Cricetulus griseus: one gene and its partners. The protein of the gene in region 1 interacts with the protein of each later gene in a pairwise test. Links are inferred from orthologs where the notes say so. Each region holds a gene or a part of one and is shown in the gene's direction. Other genes may lie near its edges.

Region 1 (4,184 bases):
TTGAACATGTTTCTGCATACCAGCTCTTAGATGGAGACGGGGAGTGTGTGTGTGTGTGTGTGTGTGTGTGTGTGTGTGTGTGTGTGTGTGTGTGGCAGAGCAGGGTGGCATGATCCAATGCTGCTGTTTCTTACAAGATATTCTCAGAGACCTATGGTATAGTTCCAGTCTACATAGTGGAGCTTTGCTACAGGTGGAAGTAGGATCTTTACAATTTGTTGGACTTTGATATGAGTTACCATGAAACTGTAACATAATAATTGAGACTTTCTAGACCTTGGTGATAATAAACAAAGATGACCCCCCAAGTACTCACTAGGCAGCAACAGAGAAGGGAGGTGTTCTTCTAGACTATGAGTTTGGATCTCAGTTACAAGTTACATGATTTGAGATAAGAGTGCAAGAGGCTGTAAAGGAATAAGCAAGACAAGGCAAACTCCGAATCTCCTACCACCACTAAAGTCGGTGACTGTGTAAAGGTGGGCTGAAATTATTCTTAACAAAATATTACCCCCAGTTAAGTAATGTATGAGTATATTGTCCTTAAAACACAAATGCAGCAGTGCTAAAGCAGAGAGCTAAAATCCTTTCCGGGCCAGCTATTAAATTTACAGCCCACTTCTTTCCAGTTTATTCTGGTCATGAGATCTTTGTGTTTCATCTAGATTAAAAAGTATTACTCAAATTATATTCTTATAGTCACGGTATGCTGTTTACACTCTACAAACTCCAGGCAGGGATCAATCAGTTTGAGGCTGGTCCATCCAAAGCAAACACGTTAGGCAAAAATGAACGTCAGCGCTTGTCGGGTATGTTCCCCCCAGACCCTGTTGAATCCTTGGGTTTAACTTCCACTCTTTGTCCCTTTCACCCGTAGCTGTGCCCTCTGAACGCTGTGGCCTTCCCAGGGTACCTCCTAGCTGGCGGACTGACTCATCGCCAGCCCTAGCACTCCTTCTGGCAAAGCGTAGGCGCCCACTCGTGAATGAATGAACGAATGAATGGATTTGTAGAAACCGGGCGGGAAAGGGGCTCGTTTCCTCGAGGTGTGACTGACTTCGCCGACCACGACGGCCACAAATCAACAACAAGAGCCAAACCGTTTCTAGACAGATGCCGATTTCCAACCAGGCTCGGAGGACGAGCCCAGCCCTGCGGACTGCGCCCCGCCCACCGGGGGGAGGGGGAGGCAACGCCTACTGTCAGAGAAGCCGGAAGTGCTGCTGACTCCCCGCGCATGCGTGCCCGCCTCGGCTCGCACTTCCTACACCCGGTCGTCCGTCCAGTGAGGAGGCGGGGCCGCTCACCCGACGCAGCCGGGTCTTTTAAGGCCCGTCCGGCGCCGCGCCCGCCCCACACGGCGCATGCGCGCTGGGCTGGCCCGTTCGCTCAGAGGCGGGGCGAGAGGCCAGGGGTGGCTATTTTTTTTTCCCCCCCTCCGCTCCCGCCCCTGCTCTTCCCACCTGCCACGTACGGGACCGCGGCTCTCGCTAGGCTTGTCGGGTGTGTGCGATTGGCCGGGCCTGCGCGCCTCCCTGCTCGGCGAGGCTCGGCGGAGGGCGGGCGGCCGAGCGAGCGGGGTCCGAAGCTCCCCTGCGACACTGCGGAGCCCGCGGCGGCCACGCGCGGGGGGTCGGCGGACGCAGCGCCTCGGCAAGCGGTACGGCCGCCGGAGCCCCGCGTGCGGCCGCTCTCTGAGGAGGCCGGGGAACCCGAGAGCGCCGGAGGCCTTCTGGAACCTCCCGGCCCGGGCGGGTGGGGCCGGGACCGTGGGAAGGGTGCGGGCCCGGGGAGGCCGGCGAGCGGCCCCGGGGGCGGAGGAGGGGCAGCCGGGAGGGGGAGGGGAGGGCGCCCGGCCCGGTCCGGCCTGGCGGGAGTTTGGGCCCCCTGATACCCCGTTCCTGGTCCCTCGGGACCCCCAAGGGGTTTGAATTACAGGATTAGAGATAGGGGATTGAGGAGGCCGGGGGCGTTTGGTGCCTCACCCTCCAGAACGGCTTGGCAAGTGGAGAGAGTCGAGTGAATCATTCAAGGAAGAGAGATGGGGCTTGAGGAGGCCGGGGTGTTTGCTGCCTAACCTCTAGATTGTTTTGGATGGCGGGGCGTGGACCCCAGGGGAATAAATAGATTAGGGTCACACACACACACAAAAAGGAGCCCCAGTCGGTTCTACACTGTCATGCCTAGTGTCCCCTTGAGGCCTTGCCCAGTTTTACTGATGACAATTCGGAACTTCTGTTAAGTTTTGTCGCTGGGCTCTGTAGGAAGAATGATCTCAAAGTATGCAGATTTAGCCATTACACTCCTTTTTCATGTGAAGAAAATACACTTTGAAGAACGTCACATAGCTACGGGTGAAAATGGTTACCATTCTTGCTGCAGGCATGCCACACAGATTTTGAGGCCTCTTGGCAGTTTTAGAATAATCACGTTTTCTTTTTATTTTTAAGGAAACTGCTTAGAGGGTGTGTGTAATAGAAGCTTGTGAGTTTTGGGCGAGCAAGAGGAGTCTGAGGCTTGACTGGTGAATGTACTTCCTAGTGCAGGGGCCAGGCTTTATGTCTTTGGGCACATCAGTTTATCCCAGGAATCAGAAAATTTACCGGATGGAGGGCACATTCCTGGTTGAGTTACTTCTGGACTTCAGAAGTAGTAAGACAGCAACAAGATAGGTCAGAAAATGTCGTAGGGATCTCACGAGCAGTTCTAGGAACTAATTCATGTTAATCTCTACCTTGTTAGAGAAAAACTGGACTGGAGTTGACACCTGTGTGGATGAGGTTTTTCTCGTGGTACAGGAAATAACTGAAGCTTGTGTGTGTACTTGAGATCACTACACCAGTGGGGGACAGCTTTTTGCAAAGACTGCAGGGAACTCACGGTCAATAGGAAACACCAGAAGTGAGTTGGGGTCATGAACAGCAGATGTTAAGGATATGTAATGTTAGTTTTTAGATCCGTTGGAGTTCAATGCCCATCAGAGGGCATATTACCAAGTGTATTTGTGCTGGGACTTTGTCTTGCCTGGGAGTATATCTTGATATGAGGTGGCCCCCTTGACCACATAAAGAAGGTGGCCAAACCATCTGGAATTGACATATGTTCCAGCTTTCTTCTCCAAGTGCCTTTGCTCATTGGGCCTTTGTGTAGGACTTAAAGCTCCTCAAGTGGCTTTTGTATGTCAGGTACTGTTTTAGGTGCTTTAGGGAATATATAATAGTGTTTTACTAAAACTAAGCACTGGTCCTTATTCAATATATTGCTGGTTTGTATGGCCTATAGATAGAAGGCAATACATACAGGTTTATTGAAAGATCTTTCCTTTAGAGCTGTCAGTGAAAGCATGGGTTATTTACAATCCTGTTAGAGTTACTGTACTTTAGAACCTGGACTATAGTAGGTGTTCTGTAAATATTTCTTAAAGGCAGAGGACAACAAGTGAAGAGTTGGTTCTATAGAGGTTTCAGGTCATCACAGTCCTTATGAGAAGTCCATTGTGAGACTGATAAAAACTGTGCTCTTTGTATTAAGATAAGCCTGGCATCCAAACTGTGGAACATAGTTCGCTTTGTTCTACCTTGACCTTGTAGTGTTGTCTTTGGGTTTACTGCCCCATTTCATTAAAGAGTTACTAGTAAAAATGTAATCTCACAGGATGGTGAAGGGGTATATTCATTTAAGGGACAGTTGGAGGGAAAAACTGAAGTATTTATGTGAGGAGTATTGGGAGATTTATAGTTAATAATCATGACATAAGTTAGGATTGATTAAAAGCTTCCCAAGTTGAATAGTTTGGTGATTTGGTGGGTGAGGACTTTTCCAATTAAAAGGCACAGCAGAATGACTGCAAGAGAAGTTCAATGGTGGCAATTCAGTAAGATTTAGAGAAGGAAAGAGAAAGCTGCCAGTACTGAAAGTTCAAGATTGAAAGCAAAATGGCCAGTGGGAGCTTTAGGACAGCTTAAATGGCTCTCAGTGGTCATTTACTTGGAACAGATGAAAGGGCTGATGGGACGAACATTCTGTGCCAATAGATAAGCATGTTCAGGAATTACTTGGCCTTGAGAAAAAGATGTTAATCCATTATTTGATCCTAAATATGCACTTTATGGTGGTAGTTTGGATTGTTAAAGGACTTGGTGTTTAGAATTTAAGATTATAAAGATGTAAGACATACTGAGTAA
Region 2 (3,500 bases), on another chromosome or scaffold:
GCTAAAATTGAAGATTCCTGAGTTCTTTATTCTCTCAGTCCCTGTCACTGGGATGACAGTATTAATCTGTGGTTCCCATGCCAATGCAACATACCTACAGTGGCGATACTTAAAAAGTAAAAATGTTACTATAGGCTTAGACATATAGTTCAGTGGTTTAAAAAAAAAGACTTGCTGACCCTAGGTTCAATATGCAGAACTGGAAAATAAGATTTAATGTACCATTCTAAGAAAGTGCTAATAATTAATGCATTTATTTAGGTATGGTTTCATCACTTTTGAAACTCAAGAAGATGCTCAAAAAATCTTACAAGAGGTAAGATCTTTCAGTGTATTTAACTTCTGTTTTGGAATTTCTTTCTTTGAAATTAATGTTATGATAGTAAAATAGTAGAGTACAAGCCAGTGATCTACATACATACATACGTACATACATATGTACGTATGTATGTATATATACATATTTGTGTTTGAATGTATCTTAAGATTGCCATTGGCCTCTAAGAAACAGTCTAAAGACCAATACATTCCAAGTCATGACATCAGGATGATTGTTAAGTTCTAAGTATTTTGTTTGCTTAAACTAGTGATTTAAGAATGTATCTCTGTATAAATGGTTTTTTTTTTGGTAATTCCATAGAAACATTACAAAGAATTACTAGAATAAGCCTATCTGATATTATTTCCTTCCTATGAAAAACTACATAAACCAGTAACATTGTTTAGTAAAATGTCTGTAGCCTGTAGTTCATTTTGATATCTTTTAACTTATGGCAAGTATAATATATAACCTTTTTTTAAAAGGTAGTTTAATTATGTATTATTAAGATCATACACAGTCAGTTCTTATCCATAATAGTTTTTATTCTGTAAAGTTAACATAAAACTGAATTAGTGAGTACTGAACTTCTGGTGTTCCTAATTGAAATACAAGCTAAGATTCAAAAAAACCTCTAGTAAGAATATTGCCACCAGTAAATCAGCAGATAACTTAGTTTCATGTGTTGCTATTTAAAGAAATTGTGTTAGCAAAACTTTTTATTGCTTGTCACAAAGATCTGAAAGAGACTGTTTAAAAGATGGAAAGATTATTTCAGCTCATGCTCTCACAGGTCTCAGCTCATAGCTAGCTGGTTCTGTTGCTGTGGGCCTTAGGCAAGTTAGGACGTTATGATAATGAATGGCCAGGAAGCAGAGACTGAGGAAGAGATCTATGATGAGTATAATTCTCAAGAATATGCGTACCATGACTTGCTGCCTCCAACTAAACCTTACCCTTAAAAGTTCCATCAGCTCCCAATAATGCTCTAAGATGATTAACCTAGCAGTATTCTGTTAAATTCAATCCCTTATCATCTGATCACCTCCTATGAGTGGATCTATTAGCTGAGACAAAGCATTCCACACATGAACTATTTTGGGAAGGGGTGGACACTTCATATTCAAGCCATAATAAACAACATAACAGTTGTTAGTCACTGACATTGGATTCATGGCCAGTAGGACTATAATACCTGAATTAAGCATGACAATCCATTTTCTCCATAAAATATATGACAAGCTTCTTGTGGTTAGGAACATTAGCTAGTTTTGCAGCACCTGTGAGGCATTTTAATTTTTAAAAAATAGCACATACTGTGAAAAACATATCTAAAAAGGACATTTGGTTATAATAGGATAGCTAGAACAAAAAAAAATCTTTTGTGTTGGACTATTCAAATTTTCTGTACATGTCTGCAAATGACCATGAAATTACTACAGATAGTGGTTGAAATTGCAAATAAATTTTAGAGAATACCTGAGTTGCAAATACATAATCAGTAACTAATGATGATGATTACAACATCATCTAGATTCATAGCAGTAGAACCAAGATAAAGACAGTTACTTGAATCCAGACCACCTTTTGAGACTGGGGATATAACTCAGCAGGTAGCATACTTATTCCCAATACTACATAAACTAAGCAATGAGGCACATGCCTGTAATCGCAGCACTTGAGAGGTAGAGGTAAAAGGATTAGAAGTTCAAAATTGTCTGATAATATATCAGATTTTAGCACAGCCTGGGATTCATGAGACCTTGAATTTAAAAAAAAAAAAAGAAGAAGAAGAAAAAACTGTCGAACAATGTCTGCTAGTTTCATGCTGGTTTTTCTTCACTAATCTTATAAATCATGGTATCAGAGTTTACAAATCATGGTGTCAAATGATTTTACAAATCATGGTGATGGGCTTTTTCCTTTATTTTAGGCCGAAAAACTTAATTATAAGGATAAGAAACTGAACATTGGTCCAGCAATAAGAAAACAACAAGTAGGGATTCCTCGTATGTATTGAGAGCTAATGTATTTTTTTAATATTTTGCATGGTCCTTTTATGAAATATTAGACTATTGTACAGCTTTTATTAAAATATCCTGTTTTTTATGTAATAGTTCTTAGCAAAGTTGGTAGTCATATAATTATTTTTAACAAATTAAAATATATCAGTTTGAGGTATAGGGGAAATATACATGAACAATATTAAGTATATTCTGTATAACTACAGTTTAAAGGAAAAATAAATAATTTTTTTGGTTTTTCGAGACAGGGTTTCTCTGTGTAGCTTTGGAGCCTATCCTGGCACTCGCTCTGGAGACCAGGCTGGCCTCGAACTCACAGAGATCTGCCTGCCTCTGCCTCCCGAGTGCTGGGTTAAAGGCATGCACCACCAACGCCTGGCAGGAAAAATAACTTTTTTTTGAAAAATAACTTTTTAATTAGCACAAAAAGTACTGTGTTTCATCTTTTTATTGAAAATTCACACAGTACATTCTGATCATGGTTTACCCTCCCCCAGATCCTCCCCACCAACCCAATACTACCCTTATTTCTTTCTCTTTAGAAAACAAACAGGTAAATAAAAAGAAGTGAAAAAGCCCAAGAAACAAAAAAATCCATTAAAACAGACTCCAAAACCATAATATACAAGTTAAAAAAAAAAGATGAGTAAGATTTTTTTAAATGCCCAAATGGAGCAATATGAGGCCAAAAGAAATCTACAAAAATACTGTTGGATTCATTTTGTGTTAGCTATCTACTACTGGGCATGGACCTGCTCTTTAGTGTGGTTTATATACCCAGTGAACTCGATTGGAGTTTTCCTTTATAAGCAGTTGTCAACTGCAGATAGCTTCTTGGCTAGAGAAGGGAGCTCATGTCCACTTCCTCACCTCAATGCTGGGACCCCATCTGGCTTGAACCTGCGCAGGCCCTATGCATAGCACTGTCTCTGTGAACTTATATGTGGGTCATTCCTGTTGTGTCTAGCACTGTGTCCTAGGTGTCAATTCATCCCACTTGACTCTTTGAATTGTTCACCTCTTCTTCATAGCTCCCTGAGCCCTGATGGCAGGGGACAGAGAGTTGATGATGACATCTCATTTGAGATGTTCCAAAAGTGTTTCCAAAGTATGTCACTCTCTGTACATTGACCTGTTGTTGGCCTCCGTGTTAGTTC
Region 3 (3,500 bases), on another chromosome or scaffold:
ATGGAGGCTCAAGAGCCAGAGCTCTGCCTAGTATCCCATCGCAAGCTGCTTCTGAGCTGGGACCTGAGTCCAGGCTTCTCTCCCCTCCTCTGTGGTGCTGGGCTCTGGACTCAGAACCCTTTGTGCTACACACACGGACAGATGAGAGGATATGGCTTGCTGTGGTCGGGTCTGCAGCCAGCAACAGGGTTCAGCCCTTCCTCTCTGGGCTCTACGGAGCTAGATGTGGCCTAGGTGATCTGAGCCTAGGACTCAGATGATGCTTGTCATACACGTGCATCTTCCTCCCCACCCAGGAGCTGTATGCAGCTGGAGAGAACCGCCTAGGAACAGATGAGTCCAAGTTCAATGCGATTCTGTGCTCCCGGAGTCGGGCCCACCTGGTGGCAGGTAAGGTAGTCCCCGGTCAGTTAGATGAGGGCAGACAGGACGTTAGGCGGAGAAAAAGCCTACAGAATATTTGACTGATATCCTCTGCATGGACTTTCATTGAAAGATACTATGGGAAATTTCCTGAAAACTTTGCTTGTAGGACAAAGGAAAAGGTGGGTTGCCATGCACTGAAATAAGGAATGTCAGAGTGGGGAAACCAATGATCCCACAGTCAAAAGCATGGCTGTCCTCTGCCTTCTACACACATGGCATGCACCTTTCCTCTCCAGTAACAACAAATAAAAATAAAACGAAAGGAGGAAAGGAGAAAACTTCATTCCAGCACTGCTGGGTAGCATTTACTTAGCTTATTGAACCCATAAAAGTGAGTTTCTGTCTATTGGGTGGTGGAGAGGTGTAGTCTGTCTTCGTGGATTCAGCTTCATGTCAGAAGACAAATATTCAGTATAGCTCGGAGCTGGTAGCAAATATGTAGAGAAAAAGAATGGACTGAAAATGCTTAGAAGGTGAAGGAATAGAGTTGGGGGAGGGGCTGGGGCCATCCTCTGGTAAAAGGGTGTGCGATTGAAACCCTGAGGGAGACAGGTGTGTCTGGAACAGATAGAGTGACGTAGCAGGAGGTGGGGTCAGAGGTGATGGACAGCTCTCATGCCCCAGCACCTCTAACCCAGGCCCACAGGAGCGGAGAGGTATCCCCTCAGGCTCTGGATTGGCATGAGGCCAATGTGTAGGTTGTCTGACTTTGGGCCTGAGCCCTGTCCCCAGGGCATGCTTTTTAACCTGACTGCTGTGGTGGAGTGTGGGGGAACACGGACTCATCAACATGTATTCATTGACTATTTTATTGTTTGAGAATTTCATATATGTATATAATATGTTTTGATCAAATTGACTCCCACCCTCTCCCCTATCCACGCTCCACTTTTTATTCCCAACTTTATGTTTCTTTTTTGTTTGTTTTTGACACAGAGTCTTTCTAGGTAACCCTGACTGGCCTGAAACTGTCTATGTAGACCAGGCTGGCCTCAAACTCATAGACACCTGCCTGCCTCTGCTTTCTGAGAACTGGGATTAAAGCATGTGCTACCATGCCCAACTATGTTGTGCTGTCTGTCTGTCTGTCTGTCTGTCTGTCTGTCTGTCTGTCTGTCTCTCTCTCTCTCTCTCTCTCTCTCTCTCTCTCTCTCTCTCTCTCCTGTACCACTGAATCCACTTACTGTCACCAGTACATTATTATGTACATTGATAGAGTAGGGGCCACGTTCTTTAAACTGACTCTCGCACTCATCAGTGAGCTCTGGCATTGCTCCTTCTTGTAGGAGCCAGCAGCTTGTTCCATGGCACTCATCAGTGTCTAGGTTTATAATGAATGGTTTTTAGCACGGCAGAACAATGTGGCTTGCGTCTGAGTGGGTCACGGTTCACAGTGGGGTAGGGTAGGGTAAGCCTGCTGCATGAAATAAGAGGGGCCCAGGCTGGGAATGTGGAGGTTTGAGGAGGAGAGCAGAGTGTGGGTCAAGACGGGTAAGCAAACGGACTGCCCTGGTGCAGGGATCCTCTGACTGAAGGCCACAAGGCTGACAGCAGAGGCTGTGGCTTCCTGTGAGCTTCCATAGAGCACTCAGGCTGTCCAGGGCAGCGTGAAAGGGAGGCGGGACTCTTGTCCAGTGTGTCTCCTCAGCTTTGCTCTCCTGATGGTACTATGGGCTGGGCTTAAGCAACAGGAATGTGTTAGTTTTGGACACGAGAAAGCTTGTCAAGATTGGTTTCTTCTGAGGCTTCTCTCTGGATGAGTCTCCTTGTTCCTGTGTCCCTGTGTGATCTCTTCCTACATAGATGTTCCTCAGTTTGATGACATACTGTGCAACCCATGTGAAAATGTATCAGTCAAGAAATACACTTTAAAGCCAGGTGTTGGCGGCGCATGCCTTTAATCCCCCAGCACTCGGGAGGCAGAGGCAGGTGATCTCTGTGAGTTTGAAGCCAGCCGGGTCTACAGAGCAAGTGCCAGGATAGGCTCCAAAGCTACACATAGAAACCCTGTCTCGAAACAGCCCCTCTTCACCCCCCCCCAAGAAATGCACTTAAAACTAGGTAGTGATACACATCTGTAATTCTAGCTACTTAGGATGCTGAGACAGAGAGATCCCTTGAAGCCAGTGTTATATGATTTGGCTCCATCACACACAAAAAGCAAAAATGCATGTATTATGCCTAATGTAGTGAAAAACTGTAGTCCAGCCCAGTGTGACCTAAATAAACTCAAGACACATTGGTATACAGCAGGGTGGAGACCTCTACCACAGATCCTTTTAGTTATAGTGCTGAGTACTTGGTGGGACTTGGAGAGAGCTGTGGTTGTGTGTGAAAAGTAAAGGCAAAAAGACCCTAAGTCAACCACCTCAAGCTGGGATTTGTGGATCCACACAGAAACCTGACCTTGGTTGTGGGTGCTACTGGTTAGCTTGGCTCAGGGCCTACAATCATGGCATTGTTTTAATACGTATTCTAAGGTGCTGAGGTCAGGACTGCAGCATGGAAATTTTGAGAGAATGTGATTCAGACCGTGACATGTCCCTTCTACTTTCCTGCTAGTTTTCAACGATTACCAGAGGATGACTGGCCGAGATATCGAGAAGAGCATCTGCCGGGAGATGTCTGGGGACCTGGAGCAGGGCATGCTGGCTGTGGGTAGGCGTCTGGAGCTTGGCTTGCCTGCCTGCCCACCCACGGGGCAGTATGGGTTGCAGGCTGGGTGCTCAGTGTCCTGCGGTTGAAGGTGATGTAGTGAGAGAACCACAGAATCTGAGTTTGCTAATCTGGACCATCTGGCTGGTGGGAAACCGTGAGTCCCCAGCCTCTGGGACAGAGGGGTCTTGTGTTTGCAGTGCAGCTCTGCAGAATGGAGCTACAGTGTGGGCATTAGTGGGGGCCTGTCCAGCTGCTCTCCTGGAGGAAGGTGACTCACATCCTGCCAAGTTTCCTCTAAAAATACATCCCTGCAGGCGGTTGTCAGCTGCCTGTGATGGAAACACACGGAAAGATTTTTTTACTTGCAACAGCAAAACAGTGTCCATTCTAGGGAATGTGGGCAGAGCTTCCTGCAG
Region 4 (4,193 bases), about 140 Mb from region 1:
GTCGGTACCAGGCTGGTGAATCCCTCAGAAACAGCTGGCCTGAACAAGGGGGAGCACATGGACCCCAGATGCTGTCTGGGAGGACAGTACAGGACTGATCCAGACCCCTGAACGTGAATGTTAATGAGGAGGCCTAGGCACTCTATGGGGCCCCTGGTAGTGGATCAGTATTTTTCTCTGGTGTAAGAAGGGACTTTGAGAGCCCATCCCACGTGAAGGGATGCTCTGTCTCGGCCTGGACACATAGGGAAGGGCCTAGATCCCGCCCAGGATGATGTGGTGGACTTTGGGGAGCACTCATGGAGAGCCCTACCCTCCCTGGGGAGTGGAGGGGGGAGGGGGGGCTGGTGGGAGGTTGGGGAGGGAGGGAGAGGGAGAAGGGATTGACATGTGAAGCTATATAAATAAAATTTTTTTAAAAAGATATATTTTTAAGTTCTCCTTAAAACACTAAGATCTTGCTATAAGATTCTTAAAATTTTTCAAACAAGATTTACAGATAATTCAATATGATCATACATTATTTCAGAGCAAAACTACTTACTGAAAGGAGTCATAACATCTGCACCCTCTTTTGTAAGAACAGTGATTAGAGTGAGCCTTACAGAAGAGGACCTGTGTCTGAGGGCAAGCCTAGTGTTGAGTATGTTCCCCTCAACATCAGCACAAAGCCGCAAAAGGAGACAGTTTGGACAGGAGGTCTGAGGAGGATCTCTGTAACTGTACAGAGAAAACTAGTTCTGTTGAGAAAAAGTATGTAGTTAAGAAGAGGGAGGAGATGGGAGCATGAGAGGAAGATAAAGACTAACAGGGTGATGACCAGAATACTTTATGTAGATATGAAAATGTCCTAATGAAGCCGTTATTGTGATTTAATTAACTTATGCTAATTAAAAAAGAATATATAGCCGGGCGGTGGTAGCGCATGCACAAGGCGGGAAGTGCGCAGAGGCAGGACGATCTCTGTGTGTTCAAGGCCAGCCTGGTCTACAAAGCGAGTTCTAGGACAGCCAGGGCTACACAGAGAAACCCTGCTTCGAAAAACCAAAACCAAAAAGTAAACCAAACCAACCAACCAAATACATCAAGCTCTATTCACCAAAGCTAGAACCCAAAGATGTCTCCCCCGAAGCACGAGCCACCCGAAAACTGAAGGCAGAAGCACAGACTTCACTGCCATAGCTTTCTCCTGGTGCTTATGTCAGACAGGTGACCTAGGACGGACCCTGACCCAACGCCAGCACTGGCGCCAGCTTCTGCATTGCTCCAATACATTTGCGCTCGGGCGAGCACAGAAGCTCCCATCCGGGGCTCCACGCCAGCCTCGTTGTCATAGTTACCGCCAGAGCCCCGCCCCTTCCTCGCTGTCCGGCCCCGCCCCTCAGAACCCGGAAGCGGGAGGCGCGCCCCAGGGAGCTACGGGATTCAGACCTGGGAGGCGGCGGCCTCTGGCTGCTCAGCCGCGCGCCCCCTCTACCTGCTGCGCCCGCGGAGCCTCTGCTCTGCAGCCGCCCGGCCCACCCGCGCCCTGCCGCCTGCCTCCGCAGCGCCCGAACCGGGCCGAAGAGCCGTTTGGGCTGGAGAGAAAGGGACGCGGGGGTGGCCACGGCAGGTGAGGGGCAGGCCTTGGAAAGCGGAGTGAGGGTGTGTGGTGCGTGTAGGGTTGTAGGTGGGTGTGTATCGAGCATGCGTGACTAGTGAGTGTCGTCCACGGGTGGGCCGGTCCTTGTGACCATGCACGTGATCCATATCCGTGTGTGTTTGTGTCTGTGTCTAAGGCCCAGCCTCGGTTCATTGCGGATGGTCGGTGTGCCTGTGGGTCCACTATTGTGTGGCTATGGCTATAACTAGTGGGACTCAGGGAGGCCCCAATGGGGGTTGGTGCCCAAAACCTTAACCGGACATCTTCATCTTCTTGTACCACCCAACTTGGGGCTGTGCGGCAGAAGCTCAGAAGCATTTGGTTTCAGTAAACTTTTAAGGACTGCGAGTAGAGGCCAGTTCTGGAGATCCTGCCTTAGACCGGGCATGAGGCTTGTTAGAGAGTCATGAGAAACATTGCAGGGCTAGCGAGTGTCTCGTTTTTCTTTTCCCAGGAAGTTAGTTGTTAGGTGCTGATGCAGTTGCTTTGTCTCTATCTGCAATTGTCCAGCTACTCTTCGTGCAAGGATTCTAAGGATTGGGAAGTCCTCTAATACTGTCTGAATTTTTCAAAAGGCATTTACAACAGGATCTTGAGAAGAGGTGTCAGAAGATGTCATGCAGGCAGCATCTCCTGTCATGGCATTTAGAGACAAGTGGATAGGTTCCTGGAGAAAGAGGGATGAATTTTCCCTGAAGAAATCGCCCCCGAAAGATAGCTATTTAATACATATGGGTGTGCTGGGGGTGGGGTGAAGATCTGCAGTAAATAGCCAACTGTGGTTCTTTGGGTGTAGTTTAGTGGCAGAAGCTCATGCTTAGCATTCCCGAGGCCATAGGTTCAGTTCCTGGTACCGATAATCATAGTTGTGTCACCTAGAGGCTTTCAAGGTCTAATGCTTTTTTTATTGGCTGTAATAATCACAGATTATCCCTATGTAAGTCCACTATAGATTGAGATAAAGGACCAGCCATATGTGACCATGTGAGTTAACATTTGTAAAGCTGATTTCCTCAGCTGTAAAGTGCAGGTTCTGCTGAGACTCCACGTGCATGCTCACATCCAGCAACACAAAGTCCAGAAAGGACCAGGTGTCCTCAGCATCCCGGAGGAGGGGTTTCCTTAATCATGATTAAAGCTTATCTCTGGCCCTTTCCTCACCAGCCTGAACAAGTGCTTTTGTTTTTGTAAAGAACTGAATCATGAGAAATCGCATCTGTGCTGAGCTCACCGCTCACATTCTTTTTTCATCCTGACCAGTTTGGTCACAATCTCAGCTAACTTTCTGGGCCATAGACACAATGTTTCTTTTGTGACTTGGAAAAGCATCCGACCTAAGTGGATGAAAGAGAGCTAGAACAAACTTTCCTTTTCATACTGCTACAGCTGCTTTCCCTTTGCAGCTTTTTTTTTCTTCTTCTTCTTCTTCTTCATAGCCGTCAGCTGGTCACATGCAACATTTGGTAACTGTCTCGCCTTTCATTACTGCCGAACTAGCACAAGTGTTAGGCTCACTTGTCTTTACAAACGTGTACTCACAGCTGGGCAAAATCTCTTACCCATCAAGATTAGTTATAACGTGTCCTGTTGCAATACTGAGGTAGTTGTGAATTATACGGAAGGCTTTTGGTAAGGACTACCTTCTACCCATTGCTATGGGAAAGAAGTGGGTGACTCGGGGTCCTTGTGTGCCTGCCTACGTGTTTGTGCTGTGGTTTGGTTTGTGAATTGCACCTGACTCTAAAACTGTGAATAATTTCTACCGTAAATGGGTTGATTCTAGAAGTAAACTTTAACAAATTGATTGAAGTTTTTGTTTGTGTGTCTGTTTTGAAATGAGGTTTCACCTATCACTGTGTAGCCCTTGCTGGCTTGGAACTCACTATGTACACCTTGAACTCAGAGTTCTGTCTTCCTCCTGAGTGCTGGGATTAAAGGTGTGCGCTATCATCTGGTGGTTTCACATATTTTTGATATTCTCTCCTACAGAAATTGTTCTAGAAAATGTCTTTAGTTGGTGTCCTAGTGTAAAGTATTTCAGAATTAACTGCTAGTTGCTTTCATTTAAAAAAAGTAGTAGCTTAAGGGAGACAGAAGAGGTAAATTGACTATATTACATTTTGCATGAAACTATTCAAATAATAAGAATCTCTAAAAGTTGTTAAAGTTATGATATAAAAATAGTTTAAACATCTTAGATACTAAACTTGTTAATATTTAAGATAAATGGATTTTGCAAAGGATTGTGTTCTTTGTTTTAGTGTTAATGACTGAATCTGTGCACGATGGTTTCAATATAAGATTGATGGTAATTTACTTTGTGTTTTAAAACAATTTACAGTTTTAGCGGGGGCGGGGGGGCTCTGCTCTCTGTGAGTTAGAGGCCAGCCTGGTCTACAGAGTGAGTTCTCAGTTGGGGATACACAGTGAAATCCTTTCTCAAAAAAAAAAAAATTACAATTTTAACAACCCTCTCAAAATATTTCCTTTGCTTTGAGATAAGAGACCACTATCCTATCAGCATTGTAATTAGAGTTTTAATATTGGTCTG
Region 5 (3,954 bases), on another chromosome or scaffold:
ACCCATTGTTCAGTGCTGTTATCTATCTTCTATCTTCCCCAAAATCTGTTAAATGGAGGCTTTTATGTGATCTCCATGTTATTAATGCTCCTTTTCATCTCTTGGAGCCATCCAGCCTGGAGTTCCACCTCTCCTATGTTTATAGTTACTGATTTAAAATAATTGCTTTTTTTTTTTTTTTTTCTATTCCATTATGCCCTGGTCATCAAGAATTGCTTTCTCAGTGCCTCCTGTCAATAAGCAAACACCTATATCTCCCTTCCAATGGCAAGTACTTCTCCAGCTGCCAGTGGTGGGTATATAGTATAGTACTACCGCTAAAAAGGCAATACACTCTATTAGATAAAAGTCTTCAGATACTTATTACATATTTCAGTATATGGATGATATCCAATTAGCCTCTTATACTAAAGTATATGTCTGTTTTAAAGGATTTACACACTTCAATACAAGTCTCTCTTCATTTGCAGCTTGTCCCAGCAGAGTTCAGCTAGGTGTTCCATGTCTGGTATACATGTCTGGTATATTGTCCATCATCCTTCCCTTGTTGATTACAATGGTCTGTTCCCAAAAAGATAATATTAAATTCTTTTCATTAGCTCTTGGGCAATATCAGTTTGCTTTGGCCTCCCTTGAGAATTCTCAAAGTGGCTTTCCCATCTTTTTGCCTCCCTTACAGATCTTGGACTCATCTCCTTAATTCCTTTTGCTTTACAGTTCCAATGAGTGGCTTGAGCCTGGAAGGAGGACAGCTTAGATTTATGCTCTCTGTTTATCTTGAACACTCCTCTTTCCCTTGCAGCAGGATTCACTCCCTTTTCAGCTATTTTACAATGGTTGTTTCTTCCCAATATACCTAAAACTTTTGTTTTAATCCCAAACCAACAGTGACTCTTATTTACCAGGACAGAACCAGAGTTGTCCAACTTACTGGATAGACTTACTAGACAAGACCCTGATTTGTTGTTGTTTTTCAAGACAGGGTTTCTCTGTATAGCCCTGGCTGTCCTGGAACTCGATCTGTAGACCAGGCTGGCCTTGAACTCACAGAGATTCACCTGCCTCTGCCTCTCAAGTGCTGGGATTAAACTCGTTTGTTTGTTTGTTTGTTTGTTTTCATCCTTCTAGATCTCAGAATAATTTCAACTTCCCTTTGCAAACCTCAGAAGAGTGGCAATTAGCTTTTTGTTTTTGAGAACAAAACTCTTTTCATTCCCTCCTATAAAGACTCTATAGGATTCTGTTACTTCCATGCAGGGCTTTTCTCCAACAAATACACAACCTATTTCCAGGGTTAGGCAAAAGGCAGAGGGCAAGGAGTGGAGGATTCATATGTGGGCTGGCTCTTGGTCAGACTACTCCAGGAGGAAGTTGCTTCGTCTTCCTTCCCTAGTACATTATTGGCATGAGTTAGAGGCTGACAAACCTGAACGGTGGTATTTGGGTTTTGTCCCTACTGCCCTGGGGATAGGCTCCCTGTCTACCTTAGAGTCATGAAGTTAGGGACTATTCGTGCATCTTGAGCTGCTGTGGAGGGTCCATGCTGTGACTACATCACTGGCGGCTGATGAGGGGCGGAGCTTTGTATCAAAGACTGTACTTGTGCTGTGAATTCTGCAGGTGGAGGTCAAGATCCCAAAGGGTGAGCATTCCACTTTGTTCATATATTTACTGAGCATCCATTGTCCCCTGGAGCTAGGGATAAAGCCACAAGTCAAACATGATCCCAGGCCTTGTAGGGCCCTTGATGTACAGGAAAGAGAAGTCAGGAGGATAAGATGCCAGTCTGGACTCTGTATGACCTTGGGTAACAAGTAGCTTCCCTAGAAGCCTCAAGGCCACCTGAGCAGAAATGTAAGTCCAACCTCACCTGTGGGCAGTGCAGGTGCTTTGTAGCTGTAAAGTGCTATGCTGTGGCTTCTTTCCTCACCCTGCTCATGCCTGTTTTTCCTGCAGACTTTCCCGGGAGCTGCAGGACAGGCACCTGGAGCACCCCCAGGTGGCTACTACCCTGGACCTCCCCATGGTGGGGGCCAGTATGGCAGTGGACTTCCCCCTGGCGGTGGTTACGGAGGTCCTGCCCCCGGAGGGCCCTATGGATACCCCAGTGCTGGGGGACTCCCCTCTGGAACTCCCAGCGGACCATATGGTGGTGTACCTCCAGGAGGCCCCTACGGTCAGCCACCTCCAAGTTCCTATGGTGCCCAACAGCCTGGACCTTATGGACAGGGTAAGTAGAACCTTCAGCTCTGGGACCCAGTGTAGAACCTCTGACCTGGTCTAAGCTATCCATGTCCCCTCCTTGTCCTTCCTGAAGATGTGCGTGTGCCCCAGTCTCTGGCACCATAGCCCTTCGCTTCCTGCTTTGCCTATACTGGCCGAATGAGAAGTCCATCAGTTAGCTTTACTGGGCCAACATTCCCAAAGTCCTCTTGGCTTACAACAAGCATTTATTTCTACTGTTTGCTTACTCTCGCTCATGTGTCAGCAACTGTGGGTTGCCAGCTGAGTTTCTGCTCCATGTATCTTTCATTCTGGGACTAGTGCTGAAGGAGCATCCCCTTTGGGGCATGTTGTCCTTAGGGTAGAGGGAAAGAGTAAGAAGCTAGCCGGGCTGGGCGGTAGCTCTGCAGGGTCCACTCAGAAGGACTGATGTCTCATCTACTCATGTTCTTTTGGCCGAAGCACATCCCGTTGTCAAGCTGAACCCCGGCTGGAGATGGTGCTCCTCTCATAGGGTATCTTTGAGCTACCAGGCGGTGGGAGAGGGTGTACAATGCTTGGATCAGGAAGGGGGATCCGAAGATAATTGGAGACAGCAATGTAGTCCATGGGAGAAGAAACTCCGTTCCTGTAGGAGGGTGACTGGCCACATCTGTGGAAAGAAAATATGTCACCAGTGAAAGCTTCTCCAATCAGACCCTGGCCTGCCCAAACTGCCTCTGTAAGCCTCAGTGTCCAGCTCTGTGAAATAGGGACAGTGCCTCACAGGCTGATTAGTAAGGACTAAATGTGAAGCTGCAGCTTAATGCTAGGCATAGCATCTGAACTTAATGGACAGCACTCTGTGAGAGACTTGTAACAGTACAGGAGAATATTGGTGTGAAATGTGATGGTAGCTATGGCAAATAAGAGGATGAAAGAGAAGGGGAAAGAGAGCCGCAGGCTGGAGGGAAGGTATTAGACAAGACAAGGAGGGTTGAGATTGAAGAGCTTTAGCTGGGGTCTCTTAGCAGAGGGCTGGGGAAAGTGGGTGCCAGTCCTTGCTTTTCCCGGGTTCCCTTTAGTCAGCTCCTTCACAGCACTGCTGTTCTCAGGGGCCCAGCACCAGCTAGGCAGCCAGGAACTGCTTTGGCTTATGAGAAGGGCCTCCAGGGAGTGCTGTGCTTAGGAAGCAAACAGCATCTGAATGTACCCAGGCAGGTGGTCCTGGGGGAGATGCCCAAACCTCTGGGGTTCTGCGCCCAGCCAGCCAGTGGCATTTATCTTCTCAGAGCCCAAGCGTCTGGCTGTTGGCTTCCAACTTAGAGGCTCTGCAAATGGATTTCTGTACCCTCCAAAACCTTGTGTCTGAGCTCATAGGAAGTCTGCAGGGAAAGGAGCCCCTGACTCTGAGGGCCTGAAAGTGGCTGTAGTGTGTAGAGCAGGGGAGGAGAGGAGGGGCTCACCTTATGTGCTCAGCCTCCCTCTCATTTGACTGCATTGTTTCCTCTCTAGGGTGGCTAGCAACACCTGGGAGTGGTACTGCATACATCCTGATCTATGCACTTGCCTTAGAGTCCTGGGAAGGTCCACCTCCTGGGTTTGAGTACTAGTATACAACTGTGGGTGACAGAGCTGACCATTGGCGGTGCTCCTCTGTTTGCAGAAAGAGGGCCTCTGGCTGCCGCATTTGCCATCAGCCCTTGCTGTCCATCCAGCAGAGATGCTGTAAATGCATCCTGGGTGTTTCTT
Region 6 (4,274 bases), on another chromosome or scaffold:
TGTTTCTGCATCTTCTTGCAGTCATACTGTTTCGCTAGTCATCCAGCAACCAAAACCACTCCACTCCGTTTCCAAGCCTCCTCACTCACAAGGGGTAAAGCTGAGCAAAATTTTCTAGGCCTACTAGAAGAGCTGCCCCGCTATTACTTAAGAAAAATCACAGATAAAAAAAGAATGTATGGCTGCACCAAATGTTGTCACAAAACTACTTCATTAACTACGTTTCCCAAATTGCATGGCCAGAGAACCACCAGAGGCACTCATAGAAAAAATAATTCTCTCATTCCTTGTGTAAAATCTCACCCTATATGTAGATTGGAGTAGAGGTCCAAGAACCCCTATTTTTAGTTAAGTACCCCAACTAAATCTTTTGTCTGTATGAATTTTGAAACGTTAGGTGAGAAATCTACTTAGCCATACATTCATTTAGTGAAAATTCACTACATTGAACTGTGATGCACCAAAATTGTCAATCTGTGCCTTTTACAGAGCTGTAAATATCAAGCTCCAAACAATTCTATTATATAAAAGATCCTATAGGTCACATAGTGATTGGAAATTCAATCGGTGATACTTGCCAACTTTCCTCTTTACCAGAGTTACTCGAGACATGTTCCTCTGTGTGTGTGCGTGTTGTGTGTTCTATTCCTCATTTTTAAAGCACAGACTCTTCTGATACAGGATGTATGTTTTTCTGGGGATTTAATGCATGGTTTGTAAGCACTCTACCGATGGGCCACATACCCAGCTCATGGAATTGGCATTTTTAAACCCATGCCTCCAAGTCTGTGCCTATTTTACTACATTGGACTTACTTTGCCAGGTAGGTTTTCTCGGACGGCAGGGCTATTAACTCCTTTCCTTGTTCTTTTAATCTGATTTCCCTCAGGATAACCCACCCTGCATTTCCTCCAACTCCAGTGGCAGGCTAACTGTTCTGGTACTAACCCAGGAGGTGTGCACAACCACAGCCAAGGGCATTTTCCATGGCTTCCAAAACTTCCCCTGCTCATGTCCAGTGCCACACTGCCCCTAGGCTTTCTTACTAGTGCTGGTACTAGACTTTGAGAGTCCTCTCATTCCCCAGCCTCTCTCAGCTCTCCCTCAGTACAGGGAAGCGTCAACAAAGTAATAGGATGTATGCTACTGGGGACGGCCCCCACATTTCTAGTAGGACAGAACGAAGATGACAGTGCCAGAGCTGTTAGCAAATGACTTCCCTGTTGCCAGGGTAAATCTGCGGCAGCCATCTGTAGCGCTGCTTACAAACGTTTGGATGTGCACCAGTGAAAATGACGGAGGAGGAGGACCGCAAACGCAGAGACTTCAAATTAGCATAGCTCGGCCCCCTGCGGGCAACCCACGCCCCTTTTCTCGGGCCGTAGGTCTTCCCGCAGACTGTTGCCCCACCCCCGAACAAAACCCTAGGCGGGAACCCACAACGTGACGCGCGGAACGAGATCCGTGGCGGCTCTGTCCAGGTGCTTCCGGCTCCCACCGGACGGAGGCGCGCTCGGCCCTGGCCTCACTCTGCCACGGAAGTGTGTTTTAGGCGCACCGGAAGCCACCTCAGGGGTAGCCATGGCGGGTTTGCCTGTTAGAGACCCTGCGGTGGATCGTTCTCTGCGTTCTGTGTTCGGTGAGAGGAATTTAGTGGCGCCTCCAGTCAGGGAGGGATGTCCCCTGCGGTCCCCAGCTGGAGCGGGTGTCGGGGCGGGCGTGCGATTTCCCCGCTGTCCTTTGACGCGGCAGCCTGGTGTACTCGTGGGCAAACAGAGCCCCCCCCCCCAACTTGGGCTCCAAGGTATTGGAGGTTTTCCGCAGTGTGGTTCAGGGAGCTAGACCCTAGCGTTTGTCGTCTCTGTTTTCCCCTTCATGATTCTCAGTTATTTTTTAGGAGAAAAGGTGCGTGGAAACAGAGCGCCCCTGTTCCGTGCTGCTTCTCCTAGCCCAAAATACAGATTTAATTTTGAAGCCATCGACCCTATATCCACTTCCTGCCCTCTCATAAACGCCTAATATCGCTTGCTTTTTACTTGTAACGTTTCATCCAACCATAGTGGTAGCGGCCACCTGGGCACCTTGAGGTGGGTTGCGAATGAATGAATGAATGATTGATTGATGAAAGCTCAGGGAGATTCTAGAGAAGCGAAACTAAACAGTTCTTAGGAATTAAATGAGTTAATTTTTTTTTTTTCGAGACAGGGTTTCTCTGTGTGGCTTTGGAGGCTGTCCTGGAACTCACTCTGGAGACCAGGTTGGTCTCGAGCTCACAGAGATCCTCCTGTCCCTGCTTCCAGAGTGCTGGCATTAAAGGCGTGTGCCACGTGTATTGCTGTTTTTTTTTTTCCTTGGGGGCAGGGGTTGGTTTTTTTTCTGGCTCCCAAGGGCTGGGATTAAAAACGTGCGCTTTTAGTAGGGCGTTGGTGGCGCACGCCTTTAATCCTAGCAATAGGGAGGCAGAGGCAGGCGGATCTCTGTGAGTTCGAGACCAGCCTGGTCTACAAGAGCTAGCTCCAGGACAGCCTCCAAAAGCCACAGAGAAACACTGTCTCGAAAAACCAAAAAATAAAAACGTGTGCTTTTGCCGGGCGTTGGTGGCACATGTCTTTAATCCCAGCACACGGGAGGCAGAGGTAGGAGGATCTCTGAGTTTGAGACCAGTTCGGTCTACAAGAGCTAGTTCCAGGACAGCCTCTAAAGCCCTAGAAACCCTGTCTCCAAAAACCAAAAAAAACAAAAACAAAAAAACAAAAACAAAACTTAAGCTTTTGGGGGGAGGGGTGGTGGTTTTGTTTTGTTGGTTGCTTTTTTTCTGCCTAAGTGCTGGGATTAAAGGCATGCGCTTTTTTTGTTGTTGGTTTTTTCTGCCTCCCAAGTGCTGGGGTTAAAGGCGTGCACTTTTGGGGGGGGGTGGTTTTTTTTTCTTTGTTTTTGGTTTTTTTTTTTTCTGCCTCCTGAGTGCACGTTTAAAAGCACGTTTTGGGGCAGTACAATTGCCTCAAATTCAACGCCAGCCTAGGTTACATAACAAGGCCGGCCACACTATATAATAAGACTTAAAACAAAAAGAACAAGAAGCACTGTTTGAAAGAAACATGACAAAACAGTTGAGAATGATTTTTAACCCCCCTCCACTATATTCCTGGCTATTCCCTCCATAAGCATGTGTATACATGGAAATACAGACATGAACCCACCCTCTTTATGTTTTTAGTAGTCACTGGTCAAACACAGGGTTATGAGTAAATACCAGTGCTTAAACATATATTTTCATCAAAGTAAGGGAAAACATCCTATTTGTCATATCCATATGAGAACTGTTTGAAAGACTTCTTTTTTTATTTTGCCTCTGGGTCTGTTGTGGGGTCTGAAAAGGTACAGTGGAAGCGTTTTGGAGAACACTGTTCAGTCAACTTGTTACCTATTTATTGATAAAAATAGAAAGCCTACTGTTTACTTGCTTACTGAAGAGCTCCATTACTGCACCAGCATTTTAATGTATTATCTGTTCCTTAGTGGGAAACATTCCGTATGAAGCTACTGAAGAACAACTGAAGGACATCTTCTCTGAGGTTGGGCCTGTTGTTAGTTTCAGGTGAGAACTTTTAAGATCTTCATGGGAGATTCTTTAAAAACCACAGATTTTGAGATAAATGTACATGCTTTATAATTCATATCCAGTCTTACTTGGAAAATTTCTTTCATTAAAAATGTTTCAAAAACATAAAAGCAGAAATAGAAGAGTGTCTTTTTGGGGGGATTTGGAGACAGGGTTCCTCTGTGTAACAGGCTTGGCTGTCCTGAAACTCAGTGTATAGCCAGACTGACCTTGAACCACAGAAATCTGCCTGCCTCTGCCTCCTGAGCATTGGGATTAAAGGCATGCACCACCATGCCTGGCTTAGAAGGGTATCTTACTGTGGTCTAAATTAGAACATGCCAATGTTAGCAAGAAGCCTGTGTGTGTGTGTGTGTGTGTGTGTGTGTGTGTGTGTAGCATTTGTTTCTGATACTTGGTTTTGCTCTTCAGATTGGTATATGATAGGGAGACAGGAAAACCAAAAGGTTATGGCTTCTGTGAATACCAAGACCAAGAAACAGCACTTAGTGCCATGCGGAACTTGAATGGGCGTGAATTCAGTGGACGAGCACTTCGAGTGGATAATGCTGCCAGTGAAAAGAACAAAGAAGAACTGAAAAGTGAGTATAAATGCAAGCCATATATATTACAAGTTAATGAAGATGAGAAGATGATCCAAGTTGTTCATTTG

Evidence for each region.
Region 2: the proteins of Tfg (region 1) and protein boule-like interact in binary tests that used the Homo sapiens proteins (3 or more experiments, as listed by UniProt). The two-hybrid records come from large-scale screens. The link is inferred for Cricetulus griseus from reciprocal best matches to the Homo sapiens genes TFG and BOLL.
Region 3: the proteins of Tfg (region 1) and Anxa11 interact in binary tests that used the Homo sapiens proteins (3 or more experiments, as listed by UniProt). The two-hybrid records come from large-scale screens. The link is inferred for Cricetulus griseus from reciprocal best matches to the Homo sapiens genes TFG and ANXA11.
Region 4: the proteins of Tfg (region 1) and Spg21 interact in binary tests that used the Homo sapiens proteins (3 or more experiments, as listed by UniProt). The two-hybrid records come from large-scale screens. The link is inferred for Cricetulus griseus from reciprocal best matches to the Homo sapiens genes TFG and SPG21.
Region 5: the proteins of Tfg (region 1) and Pef1 interact in binary tests that used the Homo sapiens proteins (3 or more experiments, as listed by UniProt). The two-hybrid records come from large-scale screens. The link is inferred for Cricetulus griseus from reciprocal best matches to the Homo sapiens genes TFG and PEF1.
Region 6: the proteins of Tfg (region 1) and Cstf2 interact in binary tests that used the Homo sapiens proteins (3 or more experiments, as listed by UniProt). The two-hybrid records come from large-scale screens. The link is inferred for Cricetulus griseus from reciprocal best matches to the Homo sapiens genes TFG and CSTF2.

What each region holds. Positions count from the first base shown.
Region 1 is NC_048597.1:35,437,227-35,441,410, forward strand, and holds the start of Tfg (protein TFG), read left to right. Parts: upstream 1-1,384; 5' UTR 1,385-1,503; intron 1,504-1,966; exon of another isoform or gene 1,967-2,901; intron 2,902-4,184. UniProt on the Homo sapiens protein: Plays a role in the normal dynamic function of the endoplasmic reticulum (ER) and its associated microtubules. Required for secretory cargo traffic from the endoplasmic reticulum to the Golgi apparatus.
Region 2 is NC_048595.1:409,749,596-409,753,095, reverse strand, and holds part of protein boule-like, read left to right. Parts: intron 1-261; coding exon 262-316; intron 317-2,252; coding exon 2,253-2,328; intron 2,329-3,500. UniProt on the Homo sapiens protein: Probable RNA-binding protein, which may be required during spermatogenesis. May act by binding to the 3'-UTR of mRNAs and regulating their translation.
Region 3 is NW_023276807.1:193,940,628-193,944,127, reverse strand, and holds part of Anxa11 (annexin A11), read left to right. Parts: intron 1-296; coding exon 297-390; intron 391-2,988; coding exon 2,989-3,084; intron 3,085-3,500. UniProt on the Homo sapiens protein: Binds specifically to calcyclin in a calcium-dependent manner. Required for midbody formation and completion of the terminal phase of cytokinesis.
Region 4 is NC_048597.1:177,058,224-177,062,416, forward strand, and holds the start of Spg21 (maspardin), read left to right. Parts: upstream 1-1,393; 5' UTR 1,394-1,612; intron 1,613-4,193. UniProt on the Homo sapiens protein: May play a role as a negative regulatory factor in CD4-dependent T-cell activation.
Region 5 is NC_048595.1:22,916,450-22,920,403, reverse strand, and holds the start of Pef1 (peflin), read left to right. Parts: upstream 1-1,154; 5' UTR 1,155-1,567; coding exon 1,568-1,642; intron 1,643-1,956; coding exon 1,957-2,230; intron 2,231-3,954. UniProt on the Homo sapiens protein: Calcium-binding protein that acts as an adapter that bridges unrelated proteins or stabilizes weak protein-protein complexes in response to calcium.
Region 6 is NC_048604.1:46,068,565-46,072,838, reverse strand, and holds the start of Cstf2 (cleavage stimulation factor subunit 2), read left to right. Parts: upstream 1-1,474; 5' UTR 1,475-1,581; coding exon 1,582-1,639; intron 1,640-3,519; coding exon 3,520-3,598; intron 3,599-4,033; coding exon 4,034-4,203; intron 4,204-4,274. UniProt on the Homo sapiens protein: One of the multiple factors required for polyadenylation and 3'-end cleavage of mammalian pre-mRNAs. This subunit is directly involved in the binding to pre-mRNAs.